Linked DNA regions of Macaca fascicularis. The protein of the gene in region 2 purifies or fractionates together with the protein of the main gene of each other region. This does not show direct contact. Links are inferred from orthologs where the notes say so. Each region holds a gene or a part of one and is shown on either strand. Other genes may lie near its edges.

Region 1 (7,073 bases), on a different chromosome or scaffold from region 2:
CTATTGGCTGGAAGCTTTACTGATAATATAAACAGTGGATCAATATATATTTTCTATGTTGTATTACATATTGTTTTCTTGCAATAAACTAAAAAAACGAAAATGTTATTAAAAAAATCATAAGGAGGCCGGGTGCAGTGGCTCACGACTGTAATCTCACCACTTCGGGAGGCTGAGGTGGGCAGATCATGAGGTCAAGATATCAAGACCATCCTGGCCAACATGGTGAAACCCCATCTCTACTAAAAATACAAAAATTAGCTGGGTGTGGTAGCGCACACCTATAGTCCCAGTTACTTGGGAGGCTGAGGCAGGAGAATCTCTTGAATCCGGGAGGCGGAGGTTGCAGTGAGCCGAGATCGCACCACTGCACTCCAGCCTAGTGACAGAGTGAGACTCCGTCTCAAAAAAAAAAAAAAAAAACCATAAGGAAGAAAAATATATTTACGTTCATTACGTAGAAATGGATCATCATAAAGGTCTTCATCCTTTTCAGGATAAGGAGAAACAGGAGGCATTGGTTTTGCTCTCTCAGGGGTGGCAGGGGCAGAAAAAAAAATTCTTGTATAAGTGGAACTGCACAGTTCAAAGCCTTGTTCAATGGTCAACTATAATTTCAACTGGGCACAAAATAGGGCATACATGTAATACTTAGAACAGTCATGTGAAGAAGTCCTCAGAAAACATCCATATTATTTGAAAACAAAGATTTTTTTAAAGTTGGAGGAGAAGGGATGCTTTTATTTTAACCAATAGGGGGATGTAAAACAACAGCATAATTTTAACTGCAGGCCAGAATTAATTTGCCAAACATAAATAACTCAAACATACATAATTCCTACTGGAATGAATGACTTGTAAATTTTACACCAAACTTAATATGATGATCTATTAAGAAGGTAACATAAAAAAAAAGAAAAAGTCTAAAACCAAATTAGATACTTTGCCCCTAACAATTCTGAAGGAAAAAAAAAAAGTGACAAGTAAAACTTAAAAATATACAAAGCGGTTTAGGGATTATCAATGAATTTAAATCTTGACCCATTCAAATAAGTGAAAAATAAATACAACTAAAAATGAAGTAATATTGTACCATTTATAATTTGTAACAACTCCAAATATTCATACTCCCACTTTTCAAGTCAGTCACAAGATCAAAGTCGAGTTTTTTCAGGTAATAGATTCAAGCAAGCGATTATCTTTAATCAAAGAAAAAAAAAAAGAGCATGTAACATCAATATAAGTACATATAAAAACAAAGACAAATATCAATTATAAATATTTGAAGACTTACTGTATTTTTCCAATTATTAACAGCTAATGTCAGATTTTTACCATTTATTCAAAATACACAAAACAGGAAATGTTCTACATGAAAGCACTTAGTAACAGAAAAAATACTTGAAATGTTCCCACTTTTAGTATACAACTCAAAAAAAAAATTATATATACATAAAAGGAGTAGATAAATCTAAATGTGAGTTAGCAGACGCATCTTAGTATTTTTTATGAACCAGTCCCAAATTGAAATATGTAACTAAATGCCCTAATCATCGCCTGCTAAAAATTAGCTGAGAAAAAGAATAGGTCATACTTGGAAACTTCAGACAAAACTCATTTCAACTAAATGGGGTCTGATACTTTATTTTAAAGAATCACTTCCCTTTAAGACGTTACTATGTGGCAATCTACTTACTGCCTTCACAATCTTTATACTAGCGCATTAAACCCTTTAATTTTTCTCAAAACAACAAAAAAGTGGGCTTTGCATTTTATTTCAAAACATGAGATGTAAAAGTGAACAAATACTGTCTTTTAATCATATCACACACAGATGTTTCTTAGCCAGCAACGATTTCATAAACAAGGAAGCTCTTTGGCAAATTATCTGTGTGACCTTGGTCAAGTCAAAAGACCCCCAGTCTTTTGTTATCTCATCCTACTGTATAATTCTGTAATTCTAAGTTCTAAATGCTTTAATTAGCAGTCAGTTAACAACACTTTGGATTTGAATTAACCCAAAAGGTCATACGCCACAAAAACTAAACACAGTCCATAAGTAAGCACAGGTGGTTGTAGCCAAGTGTTACATAAATTGGTTTCTATATCTACAAAGATGTTGTTCCACAAATTCAGATTCCTCAGGCACAAGGCAACCAGATAAGAGAATGGAAAAGGCTCAGTACCTTCTGTTACTAACACAGGAGAAAAATACGCATTCGAATTCCTAACTGTCAGAGCTGTTAGATGTTTCCTGGTAGTATATGGTTAACATATAAAATAATACTCTTTAAACAGATCGATATTGTGAAAACAACATATTTAATATCCTTTTCTTCTTTTAACTCAAAATATCGTTTTGGATCCTTTTTTAAAAAAGTCTGTTCCTTTCCTCTGACAATTTTAAGTTGGTGGAGACTGAAACAAAACACTTTGTAAGTTGACATCTCCTTTTAAAAAAAGTTAATTTTTTCTTTCTCTTGTCTAAAAGACCAGCTATTTGGAGAAAGTTTTCCTGATGATTATAATTCTACCAAGTTTTGAACAACCAGCGAAGAAAAAAAAAATATTTAAATGTATTTCCATTCTGCCCACATGACACACTGGCCCATTTGAGACATAAATTCTAAATGAAAGATTGGACTGAACAACATCCTCCACTCTAAGATATACAAGGCACCAAAACAAACACATCCAAAATCTATTTTTAGAGTGGTGTTTCACTCTTCCGGTTTTCTCTTTAAAACGAGATTTACTTGACCTATTTTCAAGTGTTTTTAGGGCACCCAGGCACTCTATACAAACAGTATTTGCTAGTCATAAAACAGCAAAGCAAAAATCACAAATCCTGGTATTAGTGTGGGACATTTTCTCCATGTGTCCTTACGTGCCATGTCTTTTAAAAGTCTAAATATAGATTCACTGACTAAAATGTCCTAAGTCTTCCAAATTCTATAATTATATACTGGATTGAATGCCATCATACGTTCACATCCCATTTGAAAAGTACACACACGGGGTGGGGGTGATGCGCCCAGTACCTGAAACGTCAATCATACAAAGAACAAAGCGTTCCCTATCTTTGGGCTTTCTTCTCACCTCAGTTCTACATTGTTTCAATATTACAAAAATATTAAACAAAATGTTCAAAACTTGAGATATAAGTGCTCACTAAAATGGCACTTGTAGAAAAGAAATTAAAACGTATACCAAAATGATTAACGATAAAAAATTCTAGTTGCCAGGATGTGTGTGTAAACTTACAGTCCTGTAGGTTTTACCTGTGGAGAGGACGGTTCCTTCTCCACACTCTTAAAAACAATTTTACATTCTTTAGAAGCCTTCGCAAAATAAATAGCGACAACAATGGAAGACCGACACTCCTCTCATGGGATGGAGGGTAGGAAGAGAACTCCCCACCCAACAAACAGAACAAAGCAACAGTCTCAGCTTTCAAGATGCACAGAGGGTTTGGAGGCTCAAGGGATACTGTGAGATCTCTTAATTGTTCCGATGCTTCAACAGCCGTCAAAACAACTAACAATATGCAGCGCTGGGCTTCACTAGAACAAGGTGCAGGGATTGCTCTCTTCGTATTAGCCAAGACCAAGACACCGAGGAGGAGGAAAAAAAGGAGGAAGAGAGAGAAGAGAAAGCAGCAGCCAGAGACACTCCGGGAAAAGACAAAAATGCAGACTGTACGCCCTGGCTTCGATCTGACCCAAGGCCTAAACTGTCTGACCCCACACGGGAAACAGGGAGCAGGCTACTGTCGAAAAACCATCGCCGCCCCTACACCTCGAGGCCAGGAGGTCCCCGGGTAAAGGCCTGAAACCACGGCCCAGGGGGAGGAGAGGGACCCGCCTGCCACCCGAGGCAGCGACGCGGGCTCAGGCGGAAGACGCTGCGCAGTAATGGCCGCTGCTCCGCCCCTCGCACCCGGACCGAGACCAGCTCCGGCCGTCACCTAGGGCAGGGGCTGCGGGGCCCTCGGGCAGCGCATGGGCTGTCACGGTCGTCTTGCCTGCCCCAGCAGCCAAGGCGGGGGTGGTGGAAAGGGCTGAGCTGTCCCATCCCGCCTCTGCGCGGACAGCCGGGGCCGCGCCAGCCCAAGGGCGTCCATCTACGTACCGGCCCCTGACCCCGCCGCCGCCCCTCTCAGGCCCCGAGCGCAAGGCCGACCCGGAGTACGTTGCGGCTGGAGGTGACACCGCGAGGTATGCCTCCTGTCCCCGAGTGAGGATCCTGGAGTGGCCGGCGTTCACCCTGCTCCCCCGAGAGGGCCTCGCTCCGACTCCCACCTCTCCGGCCACAGCTGCGGCCACCTCGCAGTCTTTTCTCTCTGGCCTCGGAGCCCGCAGCGGCCGGGAACGCGCGCGGCCGTCACGTGACCACTCGGCGCGTCACGGAGGCGGGGCCGCGCGGGGCGGAAGCCGTGCCGCGCACCCGCGAGCTGGCTCCGGCGTCTCCTTTTTCTGTCCCTGCATCGCTTCGCTGCCTTCCCGCACTCTCTTGCTTGTGGGGACCGGCGACTTCCCTGCTTGGATTCTTCTGGCTGCTTTAGAGTGTGCTTTAGTTGTATTAGGGCCCAGAGGCACTGAAAGAATGCAGTTCCAGCAGAGAGAGGTTTGGGGTGGAGGAAGTAAAACGTGTGTAGGCCCGGCAGGTGGTGCTGCTCAAAAATCCAGCTTTGCTATCCCGAGGAAGCCCTGGGGCGCCTAGCTGAGTTTCGGCTTGAAGATCCCTTAGCAAAAGTACTGCTTGTTCCACTTCAAGAAAAAAAAAAAAAGGAGGGTCGTGGGCGGGGATGGAGGGCAGAGAGTACTTTAGGACTTTCCAATTTATTCACCTTTTTAATGGTTGAGCAATTTAATACGGGAAAAAATTGGTATTTTATTTTGAGCCCTCCCCTTTTTAAAAAAACAGAATAGTGCCTGAGAAACTGAAGAAAGAAATTAATCTGCGTGAGAATCTAAAATTAAATAGGTTATTTTGGTCGCAAGCCTGTGGTTTTAAACATCAGACCTCTAGCAGTAATTCACCGTTTTAGCATGTACGTTTCCTTTTTCAGAACTGATAAAATTTTCCTAATGTGTAGGAAAATGAAGAGGGTGGAAGAGCAGACCTTTTATCTTTAAAAGAGTATGTATTTCAACATTCTGTGACAGTGTCTTCTCGCATTTTGGGATTTCATTAACTGATTCAGGATTGGAAGTTTTCAGTGCCCTTATAGGTATAGAAATGTATATGTTTTCTGTTATTCCCCTGAAATCAGTTTATTTCAGGGTTTTTATTCACATATATTAATATGTCAACCAATCTCTTGAAGGGTGCATCTAGTTCAGTGATGCTTGTGCATGTATGCAATACTGTTTTTCTTATAAGTTCTATACATGTAGAAATATTGAAGTGTATATCCTTTAAGCTTAGTTTTCTATCTTTATCTTCTTATTAGCCACTCAGTTTTGTCCCTGTATCCTACACAGCCCAAGAACAGAGAATCGCTAAAATTTGATATGTACTCGAAGATTCCAGCTTAAAGAGGTAATGCTAGTATTAACTAACGATGTACCGGGTGTTTCTCTAAGTGCTTTATTCATATATACCCATTTAATTCTCCTAATAAACTATGAGGTAGACACTATTATTCTTCCCATTTTACAGAGAGAGACACACAGCTAAGATTTGAATCCAGGCACAGACTGTAAGATGTCAACTAGTTCCACCTCTTCTCACTCATACCCAGGGTCTTTGTATTTCAAATGGCTGCATTTTTCCTTGTTCAAACCCATCTTTAATTCATCTCTTTTATGTCTTATATACATTGGCATATAATCTGTTGGCTCTTCCTTCAGAGTATATCCAGAATCCAACTGCTTACCACCTCCACTACAATCTGCATTATCACTTGTTTGGATTATAGTATTATGGTAGACCAAGAACTAGTCTTTTCTTTGACTCTGTTCTCAATACAGAATCCAAAATTACTTAAAAAGAAGTGAGATCATATCACTCCCTTACTCAAAGTCTCCTATGGCTTCCCAACACAAGTACAAACCAAAGTCCTAACAATGACTTTAAAATCCTCCCCTCATTACATCTTTGACCCCACAGACTGTTTACCCAGCTTTGTATTCCCAGAAAGCTCTCCACAGGCTCCCAACCTCATAGTCTTTGCAGTTGCAGTTTCCTCTGCTTAGAACACTCTTCCCCGTCATGCTCCCTCCATATGTGCTCAGATGTCCAACTCTTCAGTCAGTCCTTCTACTTGTCACCACATTTTAAATCATGACATTTCCCATTCCCGATATTTCATATTTCCTCCTTTACTTTTTAATACTTATCACAATGTAATGGATAATTTATTTTACTTACTAATCTTCATCATATGTCTCTCCACATTAGGATGCAAGACTTGGGAGGCCAGGAATGTGTGTTCTATTTTGTATCTCAACTGCCAGGAATAGTGCCTGACCCATTTAAAGAGGTTCTCTGTAAATATGTGTTACATGAGTGAATGAATGAATGAATGAATGAATACACGCATGGCCGGGCACGGTGGCTCACGTCTGTAATCCCAGCACTTTGGGAGGCCGAGGTGGGCGGATCATGAGGTTAGGAGATCCAAGACCATTGGGGCTAACACAGTGAAACCTCGTCTCTACTAAAAATACAAAAAAATTAGCCAGGCATCGTGGCACACGCCTGTAATCCCACCTACCCGGGAGGCTGAGGCAGGAGAATCGCTTGAACCTAGGAGGCGGAAATTGCCTGAGATCATGCCACTGTACTCCAGCCTTCACTGCAACAGAGCGAGACTCTGTCTCAAAATAAAAAACCACATTCATGTATGTGACTGTGTTTATATATACACATACATATGTATATACTTATGTATACACATATGTATACATATATACATGATACTTATGTGTATGTACATATATATGTATATACGTATATACTTATATGTATATACTTATATGTACATATATATACACTTATGTGTGTATATATACATATACACACTTTTTATGTATATTAATAAAAGTGAACTCATTATTTTTCAGTAG
Region 2 (6,973 bases):
ATCCAAAGCATTTTCTTATGTTAATAAATATCCTCTGCTGGGCGCAGTGGCTCATGTCTGTAATCCCAGCACTTTGGGAGGCCGAGGCGGGTGGATCATCTGAGGTTGGGAGTTTGAGACCAGCCTGGCCAACATGGTGAAATCTCGTCTCTACTAAAAATACAAAAATTAGCTGGGCATGGTGACGCAGGTCTGTAATCCCAGCTACTCGGGAGGCTGAGGCAGGAGAATCACTTGAACCTGGGAGGCGGAGGCTGCAGTGAGCCGAGATCAAGCCACTGTACTCCAGCCTGGGCGACAGAGCGAGACTCAAAAAAACAAACAAACAACTTATTTGGGAAAGGTTATACAATCAATATATATTATATTACTATATATGTGTGTGTATATATATATATATATATATATTTTTTTTTTTTGAGACGGAGTCTCGCTCTGTTGCCCAGGCTGGAGTGCAGTGGCTGGATCTCAGCTCACTGCAAGCTCCGCTTCCCGGGTTTACGCCATTCTCCTGCCTCAGCCTCCCGAGTAGCTGGGACTACAGGCGCCCGCCACCTCGCCCGGCTAGTTTTTTGTATTTTTAGTAGAGACGGGGTTTCACCATGTTAGCCAGGATGGTCTCGATCTCCTGACCTTGTGATCCGCCCATCTCGGCCTCCCAAAGTGCTGGGATTACAGGCTTGAGCCACCGCGCCCGGCCTACACACAACGAAACTTAACATACTGAAGTCTAATATACACATGCGATTATACTTTCTTTTAATAGCAATAAATACCACTAACTTTGAGATTTGGAAACTTATAAGAATGTTTTCATATGACATAGAAATAAAAATATATTTCTTTTTATAAGTTAAGAAGATTAATTTCCCAGGAATGAGCTTCAAGGTTTACCAAAGTTGTGCTGAATAGATTAAATGTTGAAAGCATCTCACAGCTACTTTCATTTTAATGAGCAAGTACAGCTACAATATTCAATATTTCAAACTTCAAACTGCATTATTTATCACTATTAGACTCAGAACTACATTGTTTTCCTGCAATTGTGGTTTATTGTAATCTTAATTCATTTTCTCAAAGACCATTCAACACATTTATACTATTCCAGTAATTACCATGCTACCCAGAAAAACAAGTGAACAGTTTTATTAAGAATTAAATGAGGGTATGGAATGTGATACAATACAAGTATGACACTGAAGATGGGTATAATAGTACTACTTGCACAAAAAGTTAAATTTCACTTCAAAAAAAAAAATCACAAGACAAAAGAAAAAGCAATTCCATCATCATAAAGTAAGCTATTTCATGCAACGTACTAATACACCCCCTCCCCCCAAAACCCCAACTTCCCAACAAACAAAAGCTATCTGAAAATACTGCCATGCTAACATATGAACCACGGTATATTCATTCATGGAAAAACACACTCATTAAGCAATTGATTAGATGAAATAACACAGTTTGCAATATTGTAAACTCACAGACCACAATGATTTCACATGAAAAGCAATTTCAGATTCACTCATAGGGTGAGTAATATGGGCTACATAGTTGAGAGATAATGTAAATATAAACCCCATTAATTCTCTCATTATCTTCTAATTATAAAACCTGGAAGCTTAGATAATCTGAAAAATTCATATAAAATTTGGCATACTCCGCTTGTGTTCCAAGAAATGACTTTAGGATATTTATAATTATTAGAGAGCTGTATAAAAAGCACTTCAAGGCCAGGATTTGACTTCTTAAATAACGATCATAATTTACATCACAGAAACAACTCCAGAAATGCATTTACTCTGATCAACTCTTATTCAGGACAAGGAACATGATTTTCTAGCACTTTATGTACAAGTTACTGCAAAGGGCCAGTTAATTTACAGACTGAATAAAATGTAAAATAAAGGTGAACTGGTACAGAGAGTGATGGGGAATATCCTCATTAAGTGAGTAAAGATCTTTCCTCGACTTTGAAGGGAGCTAGAGTCAACAAGTAAAAGAGATTGCCAAGCCGTAACGGATGTATGTCTCTGTAACAAGATGCTTAAGCTTGCTTCCTGGAAAACAGTTTTATATTAGAAAATAGGAATGGCATTTTATGGGACAGCATTTCCTTCTATAGCTGCCAAACTGAACACAGGCCTGGTCACCACATGGTGCACAAACTGAGAGCGTATTTCCAGTTGGGCATAATATCATGGAGAGAAAACCCAGGAGCAAGAAGCACCAGTCTCACTGCACTTGCCCATTCAGGAGGCCTGGAGGGGACTGAGACAACTACATTTTATAGTGCTGGGTTAAGTTTACCCATGATGTATAGATTGGCTACAAACACAGCAATAAAACCAAGTAAAAAGAACCAGAAAAAAAAATACTCAGGATAAAAAACTACCCAGTCCTGTTTGTGATTTTTTTTTCCCCTTTTAGATTTAAGGTAATTAGAATAGATTGGGAAATGATTTAGGATTACCCTTCCCACCCTGGAAATGTAACATCCTACTTATGTTCCACGAAAAGAACACAGTAATTGTTCAACAGCAAGATTCAGTTTCTCTAAAAAACAGGAGCACTTTGCTCTAATTTTCACAGAATGACTTTAGAAAATTTTCCAACATGAGAGCTAGAAATTGAGGCCAGTAAAGAAGCTTATTTAGTAATCAGGACCTGCCATAGTTAGAGCTCTTTGGAATGTGTCTTATACATACAAAGATATCACAAATTAAATCTTCAGCATATTCATAAGTTCTTAAATGAGAAAGATTTCTAGTGACAGGTAAAGGCTCCCATCAGCAAATTAAATCTGATAACTCAATCTTTCCCAAGTAACAACTCAACATAGCTTCTGGAATCAAATGTAAAGATCACTCAATCATGACGATGTAAGATGAAGTACAGATGAACAATACATATGAAAAACATTTTGTAAACCGCTGCAGTTCTAAAACAGATTTATATTACAAAGCAATGTAAATAAATATTGGGCTAGTACAAAAGCTCTTATTTACAGTTTTACAAATGAAATTGTATTCAGTGTAAATGCTGTGTTTTAAAGAACACAGTATTGTATCAGTAAAATGAGTTCTGTTGAGGGCATTACAGTTTGTTAGAATCAATGCATAACATATAAAAGGTTCAAGTTAACTCTGTTTATAATTTAGTACAGACAAACCCAGTTTAACCTGGAATGGCATCTGTTAAAGTGCTGAAAAAACAGGAAATATTTAGAAAACACTGTACATTATTAAAGCTTTATCAAGTCAGAATGTTAAACTTCGTTCACATTTGTATCCTTTTGCCACAGGCCTGTGGGCAAGATTTTTTTTCAGCAAAGGAGTAAAAGGTAGAGGCCACTGCTGCTTTGATGATTTTAGGTTCAGTGGAATTAGTTTCTTAAAATAACTATCCATCAACCATACCTTCAGGCCTCATAATCTGGTAAGTAATTAAATACTCAGGATAAGCCTGGAAGAGAAAGACAAATTCAAATAATGGTACACAAATTTTCCTGAAAGATAAATAGACTTTCTGTAAGTATTCCTAGTCTTAGGGAGGAGGTTCTAAATTAGTGTTGTAGATAAGAATCATCTAGGGACATTTTCTCAAAACATCTTTACCCTGACTACAGTTCTTTAGATTTTCAATCAGCAAGTCTAGGAAGAATACTAAGTTCATGTCTGATTTTAGTAACTGAGGTGATTCCGATACCTACCCCCAGTTCACAACACTGCTCTAGAACTACTTTTGGCTTTCACTGAGCGCAAAACACAATTATATACTTCTTTGCTACAGACAGGCTGTTAAATACAAGATTTCAATCATAAGAGCTAAAAAAAATCCGGAACAATTGACAAAATTTGAATAAAGTCTTGTTTTTAGGAATTTACAATTGAAATAGTTAATGGTAAAGGGATATGCCCTGCAACTTACTCTCAAACAGTTCACAAAAAAAATGTACAAACACACACACAAGGAAGGAAGGAGTGAATGATAAAAGAGAAAAAAGAGAACAAAATATTAACATTTAGGAAATCTAGGTAAAGGTTATAAGGGAATTCTCTTCACTATTTTTGTAACTTTCCAAATATGAATTATTTCCAAATAAAATTTTTAAAAAATCCAGTTAAGGTAGTATGTCTTGTCAAGAGATTAGTAAAAAGTTAAAGTATGCCTCTCTAGCATTTTTGAAGATGAACAAATAAAACTGCATTACCTGTTCTCCTCTGTAAATAACATATTCAGCTAATGCTAGGCCATTTACACTGGGCCGACCAGTGACTGAGTGATGACCTGGAGGAGAATGTGCCATTTTCATTGCACTGAACTGCAGGAAAGACTTTCCCAAGGTTACCCGGCAAAAGAGCAGCTGCCTATAAAATGAAAAGGAAGAGATCACCCTGAAGGCAAACGTGACACATAAATATGACAATGTGTGGACACGGCATAAGTTTTAATAAATACTTATAATTGTTTTTATCATTTTACCCCTAAAAGAACTTTTTAAGAATGTCTTCTATTACTCTTATTAATGAAATAATCTGTCAATTTAGTTAGTCCTTATTTTAACTATAAAACCTGAAAAAGGTAATAACCTTATAGAGATGCAGACTCTACCACCTTGTTTGTGTCTCAGCAAAAAACACAAGTCAATGACAAAGTGGGAAGGAGAAGGTTTAAGGGTCTTCCATCAAGTGGCTTGCAAAGTTGGACACATATCTAATTAAGTCTAGTTGATTTTTTACCTTCAAAATATATTTGAAATCCATTTACTCTTCATTCTACTGTCACTATTAAGTCAAATCACTGAAATTTTCACCTGGACTATCACACATTGGCTTTCTAAACCAGTCTTCCTGTTTCTTCTCTAATTCCTGTCCAAACCTTTCCCATCCAAGTAATTAAAACAAACAAAAATTAGATCAAATCACTTTTCTGCTTAAAACCTTTTAGAGGCTGCTCACTGTACTTGGGAGAAATTCTGTACAATGGCTTCAATTTCTTGAATCTCATTTTATGTTCATTCTGCCCCATGCACATTAGTTTTCTTTTCTTCACAAAGGCCAAACTTCCTTTATTAATGGTCCCCATCCATATAATTTTCTCCATCACTGGAATGGGATCTATTTTACCACTCTTCCACTGGCTGATACCCACTCAATTTTCAGACTTCCCCTGAAATGGTACTTCCTTAGATAGGTCTCCCCTCACCACCAGTTTCAGTAGATTATCCTCCCACTTCTCTCAGGCATGTGATTGGCCTTTCTTAGTTTCAAACAACCTTTTAGTATTAATGTTATTGTTTCCTTTTAGAAGATAACAGGAGATGTCAGTAGACCAGTTGATGGTTCTATCTTCCAAAGAAAAGGGAGGTGTTAGAATGTTGCTTATTACTAATAATTAGAACTATTTATCCTTCAGACCATATATGACAAATAAAAACAGCAGTGTTCAAATTTACAAAATCTTAGGAAATTACATGCCTCCTAACCACTCCAATTTATGATCTAAAATAGAAGTGAGCGGGAGATCCCACACAGGAGAGCCTACTGTGTACTACCTATGCAGTCCTAAATTTAGAGGGATAACAGTAAGAACAAAACAAACACAAAGAAAGAACCTGTTTCCCTCCATGACTGCAATTCTTCAGCTTGGAAGTCCTTTGAAATTGGCTGGGAAGCTTTAAAAAACTCTAATATCCAGATCATGCCCCAGACTAATTACATGAGATTCTGTGAGGGTGGGACACAAGCATTAATAGCTTTTTAATGTTCCCTGGATGATTCCAATGTGCTGCCAAAGTGCAAAATACTGCTCTAAGGGTTTTTTCTAGATCAGTGGTCAGAAATACAGCGTCACATCTGGGAACCTGGTAGAAACTCAAATTCTAGAGCCCCACCCCAGATCTACTAAATCAGCAACTGAGAAGGTAGAGCCTAAGAATCTGTGATTTAAACAAGCCATCTAGGTGATTCTAATGCATGCTAATGCTTGATAAACTACTGCTCTATATATTCATTAAGTAGTGCCCTGTTGAATAAATCTCAGGAATTAATCTTACTGGATTTTTCAAATGGCATAACTTTTTGCCTATAAGGATTTTTAAAGTTAGGGACAAATTACTTAAATGATTTTTAACAAGTGAGTTAGAACAGGTAATTAAAAGTGGAAAAAAAGTGCAAAGTAGTTATTTGATTATTATTTCCTTTCGAAAAGGATCATTGTTTTAATTTTAAGTTCTTATAGTAGTATTGCAAATTGAAGATTAGGATCGTATCACAGTGGAAGAGAGGCTCAGGCACTGCGATCAAATAATTAGACTTGACAAATAATGCCATTTTAGCATTTGAATACTAGATTTTTAAAGAGTCCACAGAGTCCTACAATACTCAAGGGCTACAATAAAGCCTCTTTCATGCCTAATGTTACTTTCTACTCAGTATGCTTTAAGGCACCAGATATTCTAATGATTAGTCAACCAGGTCAAGTGCTTAAATTGTAATTGGCCCATACGGATCATTTAATAAATATTAGCTATTATTATAATCGGTGAGAGGGCCAAAAGCAATCTAAAACATGCCTAGCGGGGGGTGGGATAGCATTAGGAGATATACCTAATGTAAATGACGAGTTAATGGGTGCAGCACACCAACATGGCACATGCATACATATGTAACAAACCTGCACACTGTGCACATGTACCCTAGAAAGTATAATAAAAAAACAACAACAAAAAACATGCCTAGCTTGCATTTCTAAGGCTGTCCAACATAATGCTTCGCCCTCAAAAATGTAACTAGTTCTTATCTGATTATTACCAAAATAAATGAGAACAAGTGATCTCTTACCTGTGGCAAATGTAACAAGATCTGTCTTTGTGAACTGGACACCCAGTACCGCCTCCAATTCCATATACATATTGATTGCTTTTGGAAGAGTTTTCAGCAAAATAAATGCCAGCTCCAAACATGCCACC

The links. Proteins that work in one complex are often made in the same cells at the same time.
Region 1: the proteins of TNKS2 (region 2) and RNF146 purify together in Homo sapiens (co-immunoprecipitation; 3 studies listed by BioGRID and IntAct, with this or other methods). This does not show direct contact. The link is inferred for Macaca fascicularis from reciprocal best matches to the Homo sapiens genes TNKS2 and RNF146.

The regions. Positions count from the first base shown.
Region 1 is NC_088378.1:31,211,746-31,218,818, reverse strand, and holds the start of RNF146 (E3 ubiquitin-protein ligase RNF146), read right to left. Parts: upstream 4,363-7,073; 5' UTR 4,132-4,362; intron 1-4,131. UniProt on the Homo sapiens protein: E3 ubiquitin-protein ligase that specifically binds poly-ADP-ribosylated (PARsylated) proteins and mediates their ubiquitination and subsequent degradation. May regulate many important biological processes, such as cell survival and DNA damage response.
Region 2 is NC_088383.1:100,650,051-100,657,023, reverse strand, and holds the end of TNKS2 (poly [ADP-ribose] polymerase tankyrase-2), read right to left. Parts: coding exon 6,846-6,973; intron 4,371-6,845; coding exon 4,214-4,370; intron 3,466-4,213; coding exon 3,403-3,465; 3' UTR 1,033-3,402; downstream 1-1,032. UniProt on the Homo sapiens protein: Poly-ADP-ribosyltransferase involved in various processes such as Wnt signaling pathway, telomere length and vesicle trafficking.